2 linked regions of the Struthio camelus genome follow. Each later gene encodes a partner of the first gene's protein in a complex. Links are inferred from orthologs where the notes say so. Each region holds a gene or a part of one and is shown on either strand. Other genes may lie near its edges.

Region 1 (7,121 bases):
CAGAAGAGAGACAAGTAAGAGAGAGAAAAAAAAGCTGCTCATTATGAATTCTTGACAACCCAAGTTCTTTAAAAAAAAGATTAAAAAGGAGAGTTAAATGATACAATTTAAATGGAAAACAGAAGGTTTAACAGGTAATATTTTCAAAACAGGCAGTAGCTCTGTACGCAAATGACAAAGTTACACGGAAATCTAAACTTTGCTGGAGAATGTAATCTAACTGTTTCCTGGAATGATTGCAGCACAAGGATACATCACTTCCTTAAATTTAAATGTTCTCAGCTTCGGAAAAACGTAGTTTTTAGATCAAGAGGTTGCCACCTGGTGATAACTAGACGGAATTACAACATATTTTTGTAAAAGAAAAAACACTTCCCATTTCAGTGTTATTTACAATGCCTTAGGCTTGCTGAATACTCATTGCAATCTTAAATGCTAAAACATCGCAAGTGCTTGCAAGCAACAAGCTTAAAAGTACTTTCATTTAATGTTAAAAAAGTGCTACCCTTTTTGCATATATTTCTCTAAAGGCTGAAAAAAAGGCTGAAATACATATCAAGAAGAAAATGAAATATGCAAGTCCGCATTCATAAAAAGCCAGATTTTCACGTTATCTTGCATCGCAGATAGGGGTAACAGTGGTCAGCTCTTCTATTTTTCCCCTGGATACTGGCAGCAAAATTTTGGCGTGATGACAAGTTTTAAACTATTCTTAGCGAACAAAAGTGTCTTGCAAACAGGAATAAATCATAATGAGAACCAAAAGGATTAAGGTATGCTTCCTGTGCATTGAAGAAATCTCTTCAACTTCCACTTATGTTTATTTTCCCTCCAGCTTCTCCTCTCCAAGTACTTTGTTAGATCATCAAATGGGATAAATTAATCCAGCCGTCACTGTAAATCTTCTGTTGTATACACCGCTGGGAAAAACAACCAAACTACTTTTTTTCCACCCCTTTTTAAAAAACTTCTCTTTTCAACCGGAGCGTAATTTGTCTATGGATTCACATTTCTGAGAAATGTGCTGATTCCTTTTATTGTATTAAATAGTCCTCATGCCTCAGTGAATACATATATCTTTATTAATTATGTCTTTATTTATATAGTGTTATGCTAACCTGGGTGCACCAGTACTCAGCTGATGGATTTTGCTGTAGGCAGAATCTTGCTAATTGTTGAGTAAATTGCTGATGATGGATTTCTCCTATAAATGTGATATAACAAGTTGATTTGTTATCTGCAGCATCTTTTTAGGAGTGCCAGAGTTATCCTGCAACAGATGTGCCATGTTGTGTTTGATATGCTTGAGACACAGCAAATGCTGTACTTCATTTCAGTTACTTTTGTGATGCATTTTCTCCATATTTCCTTTTTGACATCTGTGAAACATGATGGCCATGTTGATCAGGGACAAGGATATTAACCAAATGGTTTCAAGTTCACTGCTTCAGGTTTGGGCTTAGAGGCTTTCAATCATCCATGGAACTCAATGAATGATTTTTGTTATTAACTTCGCTGCAGTCAAGTCTTGCCCAGTCATTTCACGACTAAGAAAAACCAGAGGCATCACTCATGTGATGCTCTGTACAGAATAAGACAGAAATTTTCACTGATTTTTGCATCAAGACTGAAACGTCTAAGTAAAGTATACAGTGCATTAGAATGACATAAAAATGAATAGAGTTTTGGAACGGCTTTTCTGCAAGGACACACCAAGTTCGGACTCGCCAACTCTGGAAAGATGTGGATGCTGCTCAGTGGTATTCTGCAAGAAGACATGACATGTCATGCCATTCCAGAGGGAATGGAAATATATCCAACGGTTGCTGGGATCCCCATCTCAAGCTCTATTGACTTTCCTTTCCTCAATGGCCACTTTGAGAAACACAGCATTAGGCTACGTGGGTCTCTGATCTGACTCAGTACAGCCATCTTTAATGCACGTTCTTACGCAAATTTGATTAAAATATTTTGTGTGATGGCTAATCTAACACATTGCCAGGGAAATTGTTCCAACAGTTGGATAGCCTTATGGTTTAAGCATCAAGTCTGAACTTGTCTACCTTTAGCTTCCCATCACTGGATCTCATGATGTCCTTTTCTGTTATGTTACTCAAAACAGAAATAGTCTCTCCATGTAAATCCTTATAGACCATGATCAAGTCGCCTCTTAAACTTGTCCATGAAAAATTCAATTTTTTAATCTCATTATTAGGCACTTACTTTAGTAGTACTGTACTTCAGTGCCATGATTGGCTGTCCAGCTTGCCTCCCAAGCTTTGGCACTTCATGCTGGATGTAGATCACTGCCCCTAGCTGTCTGTCCACCTCTCCTACAAGAGGTTACTGCCCATGAAGCAGAGTCAGCAAGGCCAGCAGCATATCTGCGCTGGAGATACTCCGATTCACAAACTGCATATTAACTCAAAATCAAATTTAGCATATGTTTATATTCTGAACCCTTGGAGGATGAGGATCGGACATGTTCTCTCTTGTTATTTCTACCAGATGAGAGCGGCAACTTCCAGCAGAAGAAGGGAGTAACAGCTGGGAGCATTAATCTCCCGTATTACTCAGGCATGGCCTGCTGGCAGACTGACCCCAGTTCTGTAGGATTTCAAGCTTTACGGTTGGAAATATGACCTTAAATTTGCCTGCATTAACAAGCTCTTCTGTAAGCAACAGACTTAACCAAACACTGTTTCTTGAGGGCTTGCATCTCTGTCATAAATCTCAATCGTAAATCCTACTTAGAGCACTAACCCTCCCTCTCCCACTTGTCTGCTGCTATACTCACTGTGCAAGAAATGGTGGGTACTGGGGGTAGTGCAGAGCCAGAATTGTCTTTACTGGTCAAGCAGTAACTGGTCAAGCAGTAAATGCAACCATGTACTGGCTGGCCGGCTGTATCATACCTGTGTTTTGCCTTCCTTTCCCTCTCTCATACATAGCTGCTGATTTTCCCCAAAGTTGCACAAATCTAAATTCCTTTAAGATTTGTAAACCTTTGTCAAATATGATTAAGTAGGCCAACAGGTTCAGAAGTTTCTGGGAGGAAGAAAGGGTGGATGGAAAAGGAAGCACCCAACACTGCAATTGCTCAAGCCTCATTTCCGTCAGTAGAAAGATTGCTCAGTACTAGACGATCTAGATAACTTTGATCATGTGATGTGTTCTTCTTAAATTATCTACTAATTTTACTAGCAATAATTTCATATTTTATTCCAAAGCATTACTATGTTGAGGAACACTTACTAAAAATAAGTACTGCAGGCCTTTGCTCAAAATATTTCCATCTGTTTATAACTAATTTTTTCACATTTGTTAACTCACCAGCTTTTAATCTGTTTAAGATATACAACTTGGATTTTGTCTAGTTTTCAGTCAGGAACTTCTGCATTTACTGTATCTTTGGCAATTTGGGGGCGGGGTGATTTATAACACGTGGACATGTGGGTGGACAGCGTTACAGCTTCATTTTGCTAACCTAACCTGTAATCTCAAGGCCGCTAAGGATTCCTGGATCTTTCGAGGCGTTTTAGGGGGGGACGAACCCCGAAGGGCAGCGCCCCTGCCCCTTCCCCCCTCGGACGTTAAACACAGGCAGCGCTTGGCGGGTACGGCAGCCCGGGCCCCCCGGCCGGGGCACTCTGCTCAGCACCGCGCGGGGTTTTGGGGGGCCGGGCCCTCGGGCCCCCCGGCCACACGCAGCCGCGGCGGCGGCGGAGCCGGGCCGCTTGCGCCACGGCAGGGGACAGGCCCGGGCCCGTCGGCCTGCAGCCTCCGGGCGCCGCCCCGACGCGCTCCCTCGCTCCTGCCTGCCGGGGGCCTCTGGCATCCAGCCTGCTGCCGCCCACGCTCGGCGGGAAGGAGCTGGGCGCGGCAGGAGGCCGATGGCGGAGGCGCGTTGTTGCTGACACAGCGCCGCGGCCCCGGCGGGAGGCGGGCGAGGGCAGCGGCCTCCCAGGGCGCCGCAGGGCTCGCCGAGCCTGGCATGCGCATGCGCGCGGCGGGGCGCCGGGCGGCGCCGCCTGAGCCGCGGCGGCGCTCGCGGGGCGGCCCCTGTCACGTGGCGCCCGGGCCGGCGGGGCGCCCTCCGCGCCGTGCCGCGCATGCGCAGCGCGCATGTTGCCGCCGCCAGTGCCGGCCGCGGCGAGGCTCTATGGGGAGAACATGGCTCCCTTCCCCGAGGAGGTGGACGTCTTCTCGGCGCCCCACTGGCGGATGAAGCAGCTCGTGGGGCTCTACTGCGACAAGGTAGCGGGCCGCGCCGCGGCCGCCCCTGCCCCGCTCCGCTCGCTCCGCCGGAGGGGCGAGGGAGGATTTCGCGTAGTGCGCAGCTGTCAGCGCGCCCCGCGCCGGCCCCGGCCCCGGCTCCCCCCGCCGCTGCCGCGGGGCGCCCCGGCCGCCGGAGCCGCCTTCCCCGCGCCCCGCTCTGCCCGGTCCCGGCCCCGGCCGCGTTTGGTGGCCTTGCCCGTGAGGCAGCAGCGCTCCCTCCGCCGCGGGACCGCGCCTGCCGCGCTCCTTCCCCCGCCGGGCTGGGAGCGGGGCCGGCGCCCACCCCGGCTGCCCCTTCCTGGAGGTGGGGCCGCGGCCTGCGCAGCCCCGGGCGGGGCGGACCCCCGAGGCGGCCGGGGGTGCCGGGGTGGAGCGGGGGGCAGGGGGTAAACAAACCTCTGGTGGTGTTTTGGTGTGTTTTGGTGCTTTTTTTTTTTTTTTTCCTGTAAATTGCCCGGTGCCCGGCAGCACCGCCGGACACCGGTCGTGGGCAGTGCGCTCGTTAACGGTCTGTGAGGAGCAACGTTTGTTTGCGTTTTAAAGTACAGCGTTTAATTGGTGAGCACCTGAAGGGTACGCTAAGGAAGTTTTGGTTTTTAAATAATGTTGCAAAAATAACTTCCGTTCTTGCATCAGGGCAGTGAGTAATCCGAGCTGGTGTGTCACCTGAAAGGCAAACTTCACTGCAGCACGTTCAAGCAGAACTGAAGGGTTTCAGGGAAACACTTGAAAGCCAGCACGCAAACTGAAAGTAGTGCCTCCCCCCTCTGTGGGCATAAACGGCTGTGGGGGAACCGGAGTCGTTTTAGCAAGCGTCAAAAAGGAGTGTGAAGTTGCATGAGAGACAGCGTAACAGCTGCCAACAGGCTGGGGGAGTCCCCCCTTCCCCTATTTCCCCAATGTCTGGTGCTCACCGGACCCCTTTTTGTGAGCCTGTTTGAATTGGGCAGAGAAAATCAGGGGAAGAAAAAGATGAGAGTGTTACCATTTAGCAATGTCTGACCAGATCTAGCTGTCTTCTGTAATTTCACTGTAAGTCGTTTTTGCAAGTGTGTTTGCAGTTAAGTTAATTTTGCAATCTGTGGCTGCATGAAAACTTGTGAAGCCTTAAGAGAGGGGATATTGCAGAAAGGGAAAGAAACACCTGAAAAAGGCTGCGACTTTTTTTTCCCACTAGCAGCCCTGCTAGCATTGTTAACAGTAGTTGAGCAAGTTTTCAACCTCCAGATCTTCTAGTCATTTACTACTGTTTTTGGTTTTTTGTTCCCGAGATGCATTTCTGTCACTCTTATTGAACCTCCCACAAAGTTTTGACCGAATTTATTAGATTGGCAAAATTTGATTAAAACCATCCAGTCTGCTATGAGCATACGCTCTCTTTTTTTTTTTTTTTCAATTGTAGACAAGAGCGTGCTAACTTTCTTTTCTTCTTTTAAACAAGCATAACCACAAATGAATCCTTGATGGGTTTTTTATGTAAGCAGGGAGGATTTATAGTACTTAATCCTACATTCTCTGGTCCTGTTACAGAGTTTGGAGTCTGTGCCTGGCTCGTGACCTTTGTATTTCAGTCACGATAGCTTTATATCAGAAAAATTTCTCTGAACTTTCCTTCTTGTGTGATTAAGATGTTGTAGTTAGCTCAGACTGTATTTCTGCTTACATGGCAATTATAATCCGCGAAGCTATGCTCTTTATCAATTTAGTGAATCCTTGAGGAGTCTTTAATTTCAACTACATGTGTACCTGCTGCTGCTAATGTTCCCTGTACGTTGTAATATAGTTGCCATCTGTTAGTGCCTCCTCTTACTAAATTCCACCAATTGTTAGTAGGGGTGAAACTGGTGCATCTATGCTTTTCAGGGAATCGGTTATAAGGTTAGGATGAGTAAAAGGCAGAGGTACTCCAGTGATGCTTTAGGACTGAGATAAAGTTTAGATTGTTCTTCTAAGACCTCATATGAGACAGAAGAGTAAATCGGAAGTGTAAGATGTTTGACTGCTAGCAACAATTTAAAAGTTCAGTAACTGTCTTGATGCAAAGATCTTACCATACGTTTTCTGTGTACTTGAATGGCATTTTAGGACCGTTGTATGCAGTGCCTTTACTTACATAATAGGAATAACTATTCCTATAGACGGTCTTTGGAGTAAAATTTTTTTTCCTAATGTCTAACATCATCCATACTATTTATTAATAGAGCTGATTTCTTTTTCCTATCTCCAGTGAATGGCTGTTTGTTTTCAGGAGAGTCTTCTGCTTATTTGCAAATTGTAGCCCTGTCCTCCATCTTGATCTGCTTTTTGGACTAAGTGAACAGATTCATTCAACTTTACCACATGGGTGATGCGTTCTGTGCCTCTTGGTGTTCTTGTTGCTTTTGTCAGGACTGCTAAACTGCAGTTTTGTGACAATCTAAGCCATCTAACTGCTGCTGTCATGATTATTGGCCCTTCCTTCCTCCCATCAGCATGTTAAGTGACTCACAAAGGCTGTAATTGGCAGAGAACTTTTTTTACTTTTTTTTTTTTTTTTAGGTGGTAGTTTTTCTGCTCACCAGCAAGCACTAGTCAGATGAGTACTGAAGCCAATGGGAGCTGGAGGGTGGGACTGTGACAGCCCGGCAACTAGGTTGGCTTCAGCTGCTGTGAAACCTCAGCCTAATTTTGTCTAGATTTTCTTGAAATCCGTTGTGCAAAACATGACACTGTTGATGTTGAATAGAGCTTCTTTTTTTTCCCCCCCTGTTTATTTATTTATTTTTAACAGCACCGTATTCACTTTATGCCTCACTGTAACCCTATGCTTATCTGTGAATTGTTTCTGGCAGCACTCAAAATTT
Region 2 (7,272 bases), on another chromosome or scaffold:
CCCTCTGCGTGTGAGAAATGCACGTAGTGGTACTGGCCAAATGGCACGTTCTCCTGCAGTGAATGAGGAGAGGAAGTGATCTGGCTTTCCAGGACCCGTGTGAGCAGAGGGCAGGTAAGCTCTACCTTCCTGAGAGGGAAAACGCTTGTTCCCAGAGGTTTAGGGCTGGCAGTTCAGCCAACAATGTCTGGGCTTGTAAAACCCCCGACGTAAGAAAGCTGAACTGTGCCTCCCTCTGCAGTTTTCAGCAGTGCATAGGAAAGAAGGCAACAGATGCCATCCATTTAAAACAAGCATGTCAGTAACAACCACAGCCTGAACCAAAACAGATGTCACTGCCATGGCTGTTAAGGCTGATATTTCACAGGCTGCCATGAGCGCTGCAGAGTGTAGCTTGAGGTTCCCCAGTTGCTCGTTGTACTTCCTGAAGCGAAGACCTCGTGCTCGCAAGTCAGACTCCAATTACTCTGCCAGCAGCACAAAATGGTCCTTCTTTCTCCTGACATCTCTGGGGAAAAACTCTGCATGCGCTTAGACTCTGCTAACTAGGAAAGGCAATTTTCAGACTCCTTAACAACAGAGCAGTACCAACAGTCCTGTAACCTGAAAATAGATGCCTGTTTTCAGAATATTAAAAGTTCACCATCTATTTTTTTTTTATACAATGTATTTGGAAGTAAGCATGTTTACTGTACTGAATTTTGCCTTCCTCTGGTACTAATAAGCTCTTCCCAGCAAGACTGTTCTCCCACGCGCAGTTTGGGCAGGATTCCATATGCCGGCACTTCCCTCACAATTAAAAATCATCTTAAAACACCTCAGAGCCTCTTTCCTTTGTCTGAAGGAAAACTAAAATGCACTGAGCCCAGAATGAAGGTTTGAAAAGTAGTTTCTGCGATACTTGAACCTCCCCATGTACCCAGTCTGAACTTTAGAACAGTTCAAGTGCTATCTCCAGATATTTATAAGACAGCATTATCTGATTTACTGAGAGTCTGCTGAGTGCTTGGGAAGGACTTCTAGAGGGGTTTCAGGCCGTGTACGTCTGTGTAAATGGCAGCTCTTGGAAGAGATTAAAACAAAAGTTTTGATTTCCTGAGGGAAAAATTATCAAGGCAATTTATTACTCGATTCACTGATAGCAACTCAAACATCAGTCTGAGAGGATGAGAAATGTAAGGAATGTTATTTCTCAGTGAAGCCTTAGCATGGGTGAGGAACTGCCTTTCAGTATCTTTTGTGGCGCTGGCTCACGCAGCACGGACTAGCTGCCATACAGTTCGTGTTAGCAGCCCGAGAGAGCCAGATGCGCTTCCTTCCCCGGTTTTTTCCCTCTGGCATTTATTAATCTACTTATCTTGATACTAGGTATTTTGTGCAGTGATTACAAACAATATGCAGTCAAAAGTGAGGCTTAAAGACTACATGGTGCACTGAGGCTATTTTACAAAAATCAACAAGAAATCACATGAATTAGATGTGTACAAGCTAAGCTTGCACTGTGTCTCAAACCATGCAGGATCAAAACAAAATATTCAGTCATATTCTTACTGAAATACCCAACCTGCCTATGTATCAGGAACTTATGTTCTTAATTAATTTACAGCGCACCTAATACCAGTGGCTTTTCTGCAGTGGCACAAGGAATGGAGAAATGTGACTGCTTGTTTTTTTTTCTTACAGATTGTCCAACATAAATTTTACAAACTCTTTTTTTCATTTTGTTGCTGAGAATACGCCGATGTCAAATCTGCTTTGTGTTCTTTTTAATCGGCTGCCTCAAGCTACGCCATTGACATAGTCCGTGAACAGGTATTACTTATCCTACCCATCTCTGTAGATTCACTTGTGCCTCTTAGACTATTGCTATATTGGACTGACCTTAATTTCTTAAATATTCTACAGCCATTTCCCAAGTCTTTGTTCTTAATCTCCGAAATTCACTCATGTGGACAAAAACTTCAGTTGCTTTGTTATTTTTTAAATCTACTACAGCTAAGTACAAAAATTAAGCTTTACTCTCCTCCTTGAATGATCTCTCACTGCCCTAGACAGGAGAACTGTGTCGAATTTGCTGGATTGGAGCCCTACACACACCAGTCACACAGAAGTCTGTGGGTAGCCAAGATTAAGAGACATTTTACTTCAAACTGTTATGCCAACCTGCTTCTCCTGTAGAGGAATGTATGGAAATGGTGTGGGGGCTCCCCATGTGCTCCCGCTGTTGTCTTTCATCTAGCCTTATAGAAAAGAGGGGAAGACAAAAGAAAGGGACAACTAGAAAAGCAGTCTTGCATTAGATTGGGTACTCTCTTTTAGATCGTACTGTTCTGGAAGACAGAGCTGAGGGCATTCTTTAGTCCCGTCTTTTCCCATAACAAGACGGCTTTCTGTGTTTGAAGGCTGAAGCATGGTGAACAATACAGAAATTCTCTCTGCGTAGCGACTGCCTTTTACAGAGCGAGTGCAAATTACTTCCCTCTGTTGGCATTCTCTTCCTCGCTAAGACATTCGCGTTTAGCCTGCTTCTGTCAGCTCCAATTACAAAGCAGCCATATCTATCCCTGTTTTTCCTCTGGGTAAGCCCACTGCTTCAATTTGACTTCTTTCAGGACATTGGACCCCAGCTGGGAAACCGAGAAGGCATTCAGCAAACAGCAAAAACATGTTTCTTAGATGGTGACACAACACCTTAAAGGAGTCTGTGATTTTAACGTTCCTTTCAGATTCAAAAAGAATCGCAAAACAAATAGTAAGCAGAACAGTGGGATAACCAGCTGCTACTAAGCAAATCAAAACAAAATTTCCAATATAAATCAGTTTCAAAAAGCCAAACGCTAAGTGGCCAAACATTCTATTAAAAACAAAGATATATATCGGATTTGCTTTACAAAAATTGTCTTATATGTAGGAAGGGCACAGAAAAAATGAACATTTGGCGATAAAGGATTTAGCATGTGTACAAGAAACATTCCATACTCCCTAAAATCCCTTTCCTTGGGTGTACCTGATCCACCAAAGTTAGCCTTCGGCCAACAGCGGAAGATAACCAGAAGTCATTTTGCCACCGGTATCCTGTAGGTTCAGCCCTGCAAGACTCGAGGTTTCTTTCAAAAAAGAAAACAAGTGGGTCAGTGGCGGTGCAGACGTCCCTGGAGATGCACCTTATCTGATTTTGTGGAGGGACAATGCTGCCATCGCTTGTCTGCCAGCCCTTCATCTACTCACGGCTGCACCTCCAGGCCCGGACAGCAGAAGCTGCTGCAGGAAGCCCCTGGGGGCCAGCGCATGTCCCCACGGCCGCCGGAGCAGCACGCAGCGAGCCGCCCTCTGCGCTCGGCCCCGGCCCTCGCTGCTGCTTAGAGCATTGTGGTGAGCAGCCATCCAGCGAGGGCAGAAGCCATAAACGACACCGTTCAAGGGAGCGGACAGCGTTTGGCATCCTGAGCGTGCTTTATGCCCCCGACCTGCTCGAGGGACAGGGGTCGGGGGCAGGCCGCGGGCGGGTTGCCCACCGCTGGCCGCGCGCCCCTGCGCTCCCTCAGAGGTGCGCCCGGCAGCGTTGCCGCCTGGACGCTGAGCAGCCAAAGGGCGAGAGGATGCTGCAATTCTGGGTGCTCAGCAGTTTTGAATAAAACTTCTGCAATCAGCGTGTCATTGAGCCACAGCTCAGGGAAGCGAGGGCCAGCGCAGGTCCAAGGGGAAGTGGGGGCAGCCAGGGGCCAGCGGGTCACGGCCACCTTTTCGGTGGCTTTTTCCTTTTCCAGCCTTTCCCTTTTCCACCTTTTTCCAGCTTCTAGCTGGGAAAAGAAACCACAGTTTGAAAGGAAGAAAAGAGAATAAAACGTGAAAAGGAAAGAGAAACCTCCCGAAGCAAATCCAACATCAGATCAGCGGCGGCGGGGGGGCCTGAGGCGACAGCGCGCGCGGTAACGACGGTAACGGCCGCCCCGCGCGCCGCAACGCCGCTAACGGCCGCCCCCCCGCCCTGCCCCGCCCCCAGTCCGGCCCCACGGTCCTAGCACCACCCCTCGCCCCGCCCCTCCCCATCACGTGGGGCGCACGCACCCCCCCCCCCCCCGCGGCCCCGGCCAATAGGCGGCGCCGATCGCGCTGAGGCCCAAGGGCTCGAGCCCCCGGGTCTCGCGAGAGCGCGGCTCCGCCCACCTGCTCCCGCGCTCCTCCCCGCGCCGGGTCTCGCGAGAGCGCACGCGCCTTCCCATCTGCGTCTCGCGCGAGCTGCGGCGCCTGGCGGGGCGGGGCGGGGAGGGGCAGGGCGCGGGTCTCGCGAGAGCTGGCGGCGGCCCCGCCCGCGCCCCCCGCTCCCCTGCCCAGCGGAGCTAATATGGTTGCCGGCGATGGACCCTGCCAGGCCAGGTCAGTGGCGGCGCCGCCGCCTCCCGCCGCGGCGCTCGCGCTCCGGGGCCGCCGCCCGGCCTAGCGGGGCCCGGCGGCGTTCGGCCTGGCCTCCGCCCCTCGGCGGGGCCGGCGGCGGGCAGCGGGCTCGGCCCGAGCGCGGCGGCGGCGGCGACTCCCCCCCCCCCCCAACCACCCCGGGCCGCCCGCGGCGGGGGGGAGGGCGGAGCGGGGCGACCTCGGCCTCGGCCCCGGCCCGTTACCGCCCCCGCCGGCCCCGCTTCGTTCCGCCGCGCCGGGGCCGCCCGTTATGGCCGGCGGCCCTCGCCGCGGCGGACAAAGGGGCGGCGCGGGCCCGGCGGCGGCGGCGACCGGCGGCGGCCGCCTCGTGCGCCTGTACTGAGGTGACAGCGGCCTTCCTGTAAGCGCCTTCGGCTGCTGGAGACAGTCGTCACCCTGGCCTCCTCTTGCGAGGCTTGTTCTTGTTTCTTGCTTGCCTGTCGCTGCCCCGGCCCTTAATGCTTCATTTTTGTACTGTCTTATGGCCTGTGTTCCTCATCTGAGCCGGTAAGGTACCGTTTATCCTCTTTCGTAGGTGTCGCAGTGAGACAGTAAAGGTCACATTTGTATTTAGGCTTCTAAATGTGCAAGTAGGTGTGTCTACTGCTGTGCTCTTGGAGTTCACTGGAGTTGCACAGCTGTATGGTCAGGTGCCTTAATCCATTTAGAAGCCTTTCTATATTTGATTTACTTGTAGTCCTAGGAGAAAACTATTTTTGGTAAAATCAGAAATTAAAATCTGGTCTTATGAGTCCCTTATCGGTGCTTGAACCTTCTGTTCTGTTGTATCAATAACTTATTTATTTTTTTTCCCCTAGGAATCCCTTACCAGCCCATAATTGAAGCATTAGAAAACTATCCACAGAAGAAGTTCTACAATGTCTCAAAGCTTGGAGGCACCAAATATGGTAACAAAAGTTCTTAACAGTTGGTAATCAGCATAGTACCGTTAGCAAACGTATGCTACTTACTGTACAATATTAGGGGGCACATGAGTACCTGGATTTTTAATAGGTGTATCTGAAAGTATATAACTTTCCATCTGTTATTGCTGTATGAAGTTGAATAATATCAACTTCAGTTTGGGGGGTGGAGGAGGAAAAGAATATTGCTTGTAACTTTTTTCAGTTAGGGGGAGATTGACAGGTGTTACTGGAGTCTTAGGCAGTGCTTCAAATCAGAGTAATCTCTTTTGGAAACAATGAACTGACAGAAAACTGCTGAATGGTACTTTAAATATAAATATAGTTTTTAATATAGCTTTATGCTACTTCTTTGTATCCAAGTTTTACCTTCTTAGTAACTTCAGATAGCAGATAACTGTGTGCTGGAGCATAGCTTCTATTGCAGCTGTTGCAGAAGGATGAGCTTTTGTGTTGCACAGAAGAGTGCTTAATCTCAGTGTAGCATTAATATGCCACTAAGTGATATGTGCCAAAAAGATTCTGATTGGGCCTCTGTGTCTGGATGCCTTTTAAAAAATGAATGTAAATATGTACTGAGGCAGGGGAAGGCATGTGGATGGAGAATAGCTATAGATCAGTGTCACTTAGAATATGCTTTCCTCTTGTAGATAACTAAAGCATACTTTTGTTATTCTCTCCCTTTGTTTTCATATTAAACTCCTAAAATACCTCCCTAAGGTGCATATTAAAGGTATTTGGGAATTTTTTTCAGTTATCCTGTTTTGTCAGGTCTGTATTACTCTCCTGTGTTCACAGGTTCATGATGCATTTATTAACCAAAAAAGTTACTGATGGGTGTTTGCTGTAAACCAGTATTCGACAGCAGTAGTTACTTCCCTGTTGAAGGGAAGAGAGAGGGGAGCCCTTTCTAGTGGAGCAATGGCTGCTGCAGATTTTGTGCAACAGCTGTGCGTTCTTGCAGATTTCTGCTTCTTGTTAATAACTTGAATGAGAACATAAGCTGGAGGTAAAACTCTTCTGTTTGTGGCTTTGTACAGGAAGAAGCAGCAGAGTGGCAGTAACAAAACCAGTCAGTTCTGCTGCGGCTTTTGGAGATCTTGTGAATGGTAGTAGAAGTTGAAACAGAATACGTTGTTTTCTGTCTAGATGTGCTGTAAAGCTTCGGGCAGCAGCAGCAATTGTTAAAGATCTTCAAAGCAGGAATATGAAAATAGAATAGACTAGGTGTCTCTTCCGACAGGAACTTCTGTACAGAAGTTGGTAGCCTCATTGTTCACATAGTAGCAAGATACTAGTATGAAATAAAATTGGAGCATAGTATTGGATAACGTTGGTAAGAAATCCAGCATCTGGAATTGCTCAGAGCATGTGTTGCTAGAGCATTAACTTGAGGTCTTGCCTGTTTGCCTGCTGTCTTGGGGCTTCTGACTGTACTCTGACAATAAGTGCCTGTTTAAGATAGTCAGATTTCTAATATAAATGTCAATTGACTTATTTACCAATTTGCTAGGGCGAGTCTGGTTTTTCTAGTGTTTACAGTCATTTTCAGTGATGAGGAAAATGGTAGCTAGAAGGACCTCAGAACCTCAGGGTGATTTAGGGTGGTGGAAGGGACATCCAGAGGTCCGGTCCAGGCTGCCCTCAAGGCTAGTGAGGCCTTTCCCCTTCGAGCTCTGCAAAGCTCCAAGGAGGGAGATTCCACAGGGCCTCTGGCCCCTGCTGCAGTGCGTAAGCATCTGCGTGGTGAGCAGTCTTTCTTGTGCCTACTGCGATGTCCCTTGCAACTGGCAGCTCTTTTCTGTCCTTTCTCTGTGCACTTCTGAAAACAGTCTGGCTCCACCTTCTCTGCAGATTTGTTAGCCTGAGGAAGGCTAGAGTTCATCCCCCCACTCAGCTTTGGATCAGCACACCCAGTTCCCTCAACCGTACC

The links. The genes of interacting proteins can lie anywhere in the genome.
Region 2: the proteins of FBXL5 (region 1) and IREB2 are in contact, whole or in part, in a cryo-EM structure (PDB 6VCD), measured with the Homo sapiens proteins. The link is inferred for Struthio camelus from reciprocal best matches to the Homo sapiens genes FBXL5 and IREB2. Residues at the interface, in NP_036293.1 of Homo sapiens: Asp656, Glu657, Tyr661, Cys662, Asp663, Asn664, Ile665, His669, Ala670, Asp671, Thr672, Ala673, Ser674, Gly675, Cys676, Gln677, Asn678, Leu679, Gln680, Cys687, Arg688, Ser689, Gly690, Glu691; in NP_004127.2 of Homo sapiens: Asp89, Phe90, Ser129, Asn217, Val220, Glu221, Arg224, Arg228, Ala758, Gly759, Ser760, Arg763, Asn764, Thr777, Pro778, Arg779, Asn782, Ser783, Tyr784, Gly785, Ala786, Arg788.

Annotation. Positions count from the first base shown.
Region 1 is NC_090945.1:70,559,917-70,567,037, forward strand, and holds the start of FBXL5 (F-box/LRR-repeat protein 5), read left to right. Parts: upstream 1-4,052; 5' UTR 4,053-4,125; coding exon 4,126-4,257; intron 4,258-7,121. Other genes in the region: ADP-ribosyl cyclase/cyclic ADP-ribose hydrolase 2, read right to left, coding at 1-42.
Region 2 is NC_090953.1:21,675,847-21,683,118, forward strand, and holds the start of IREB2 (iron-responsive element-binding protein 2), read left to right. Parts: upstream 1-4,263; 5' UTR 4,264-4,358; coding exon 4,359-4,377; intron 4,378-4,762; exon of another isoform or gene 4,763-4,923; intron 4,924-5,234; coding exon 5,235-5,324; intron 5,325-7,272. UniProt on the Homo sapiens protein: RNA-binding protein that binds to iron-responsive elements (IRES), which are stem-loop structures found in the 5'-UTR of ferritin, and delta aminolevulinic acid synthase mRNAs, and in the 3'-UTR of transferrin receptor mRNA.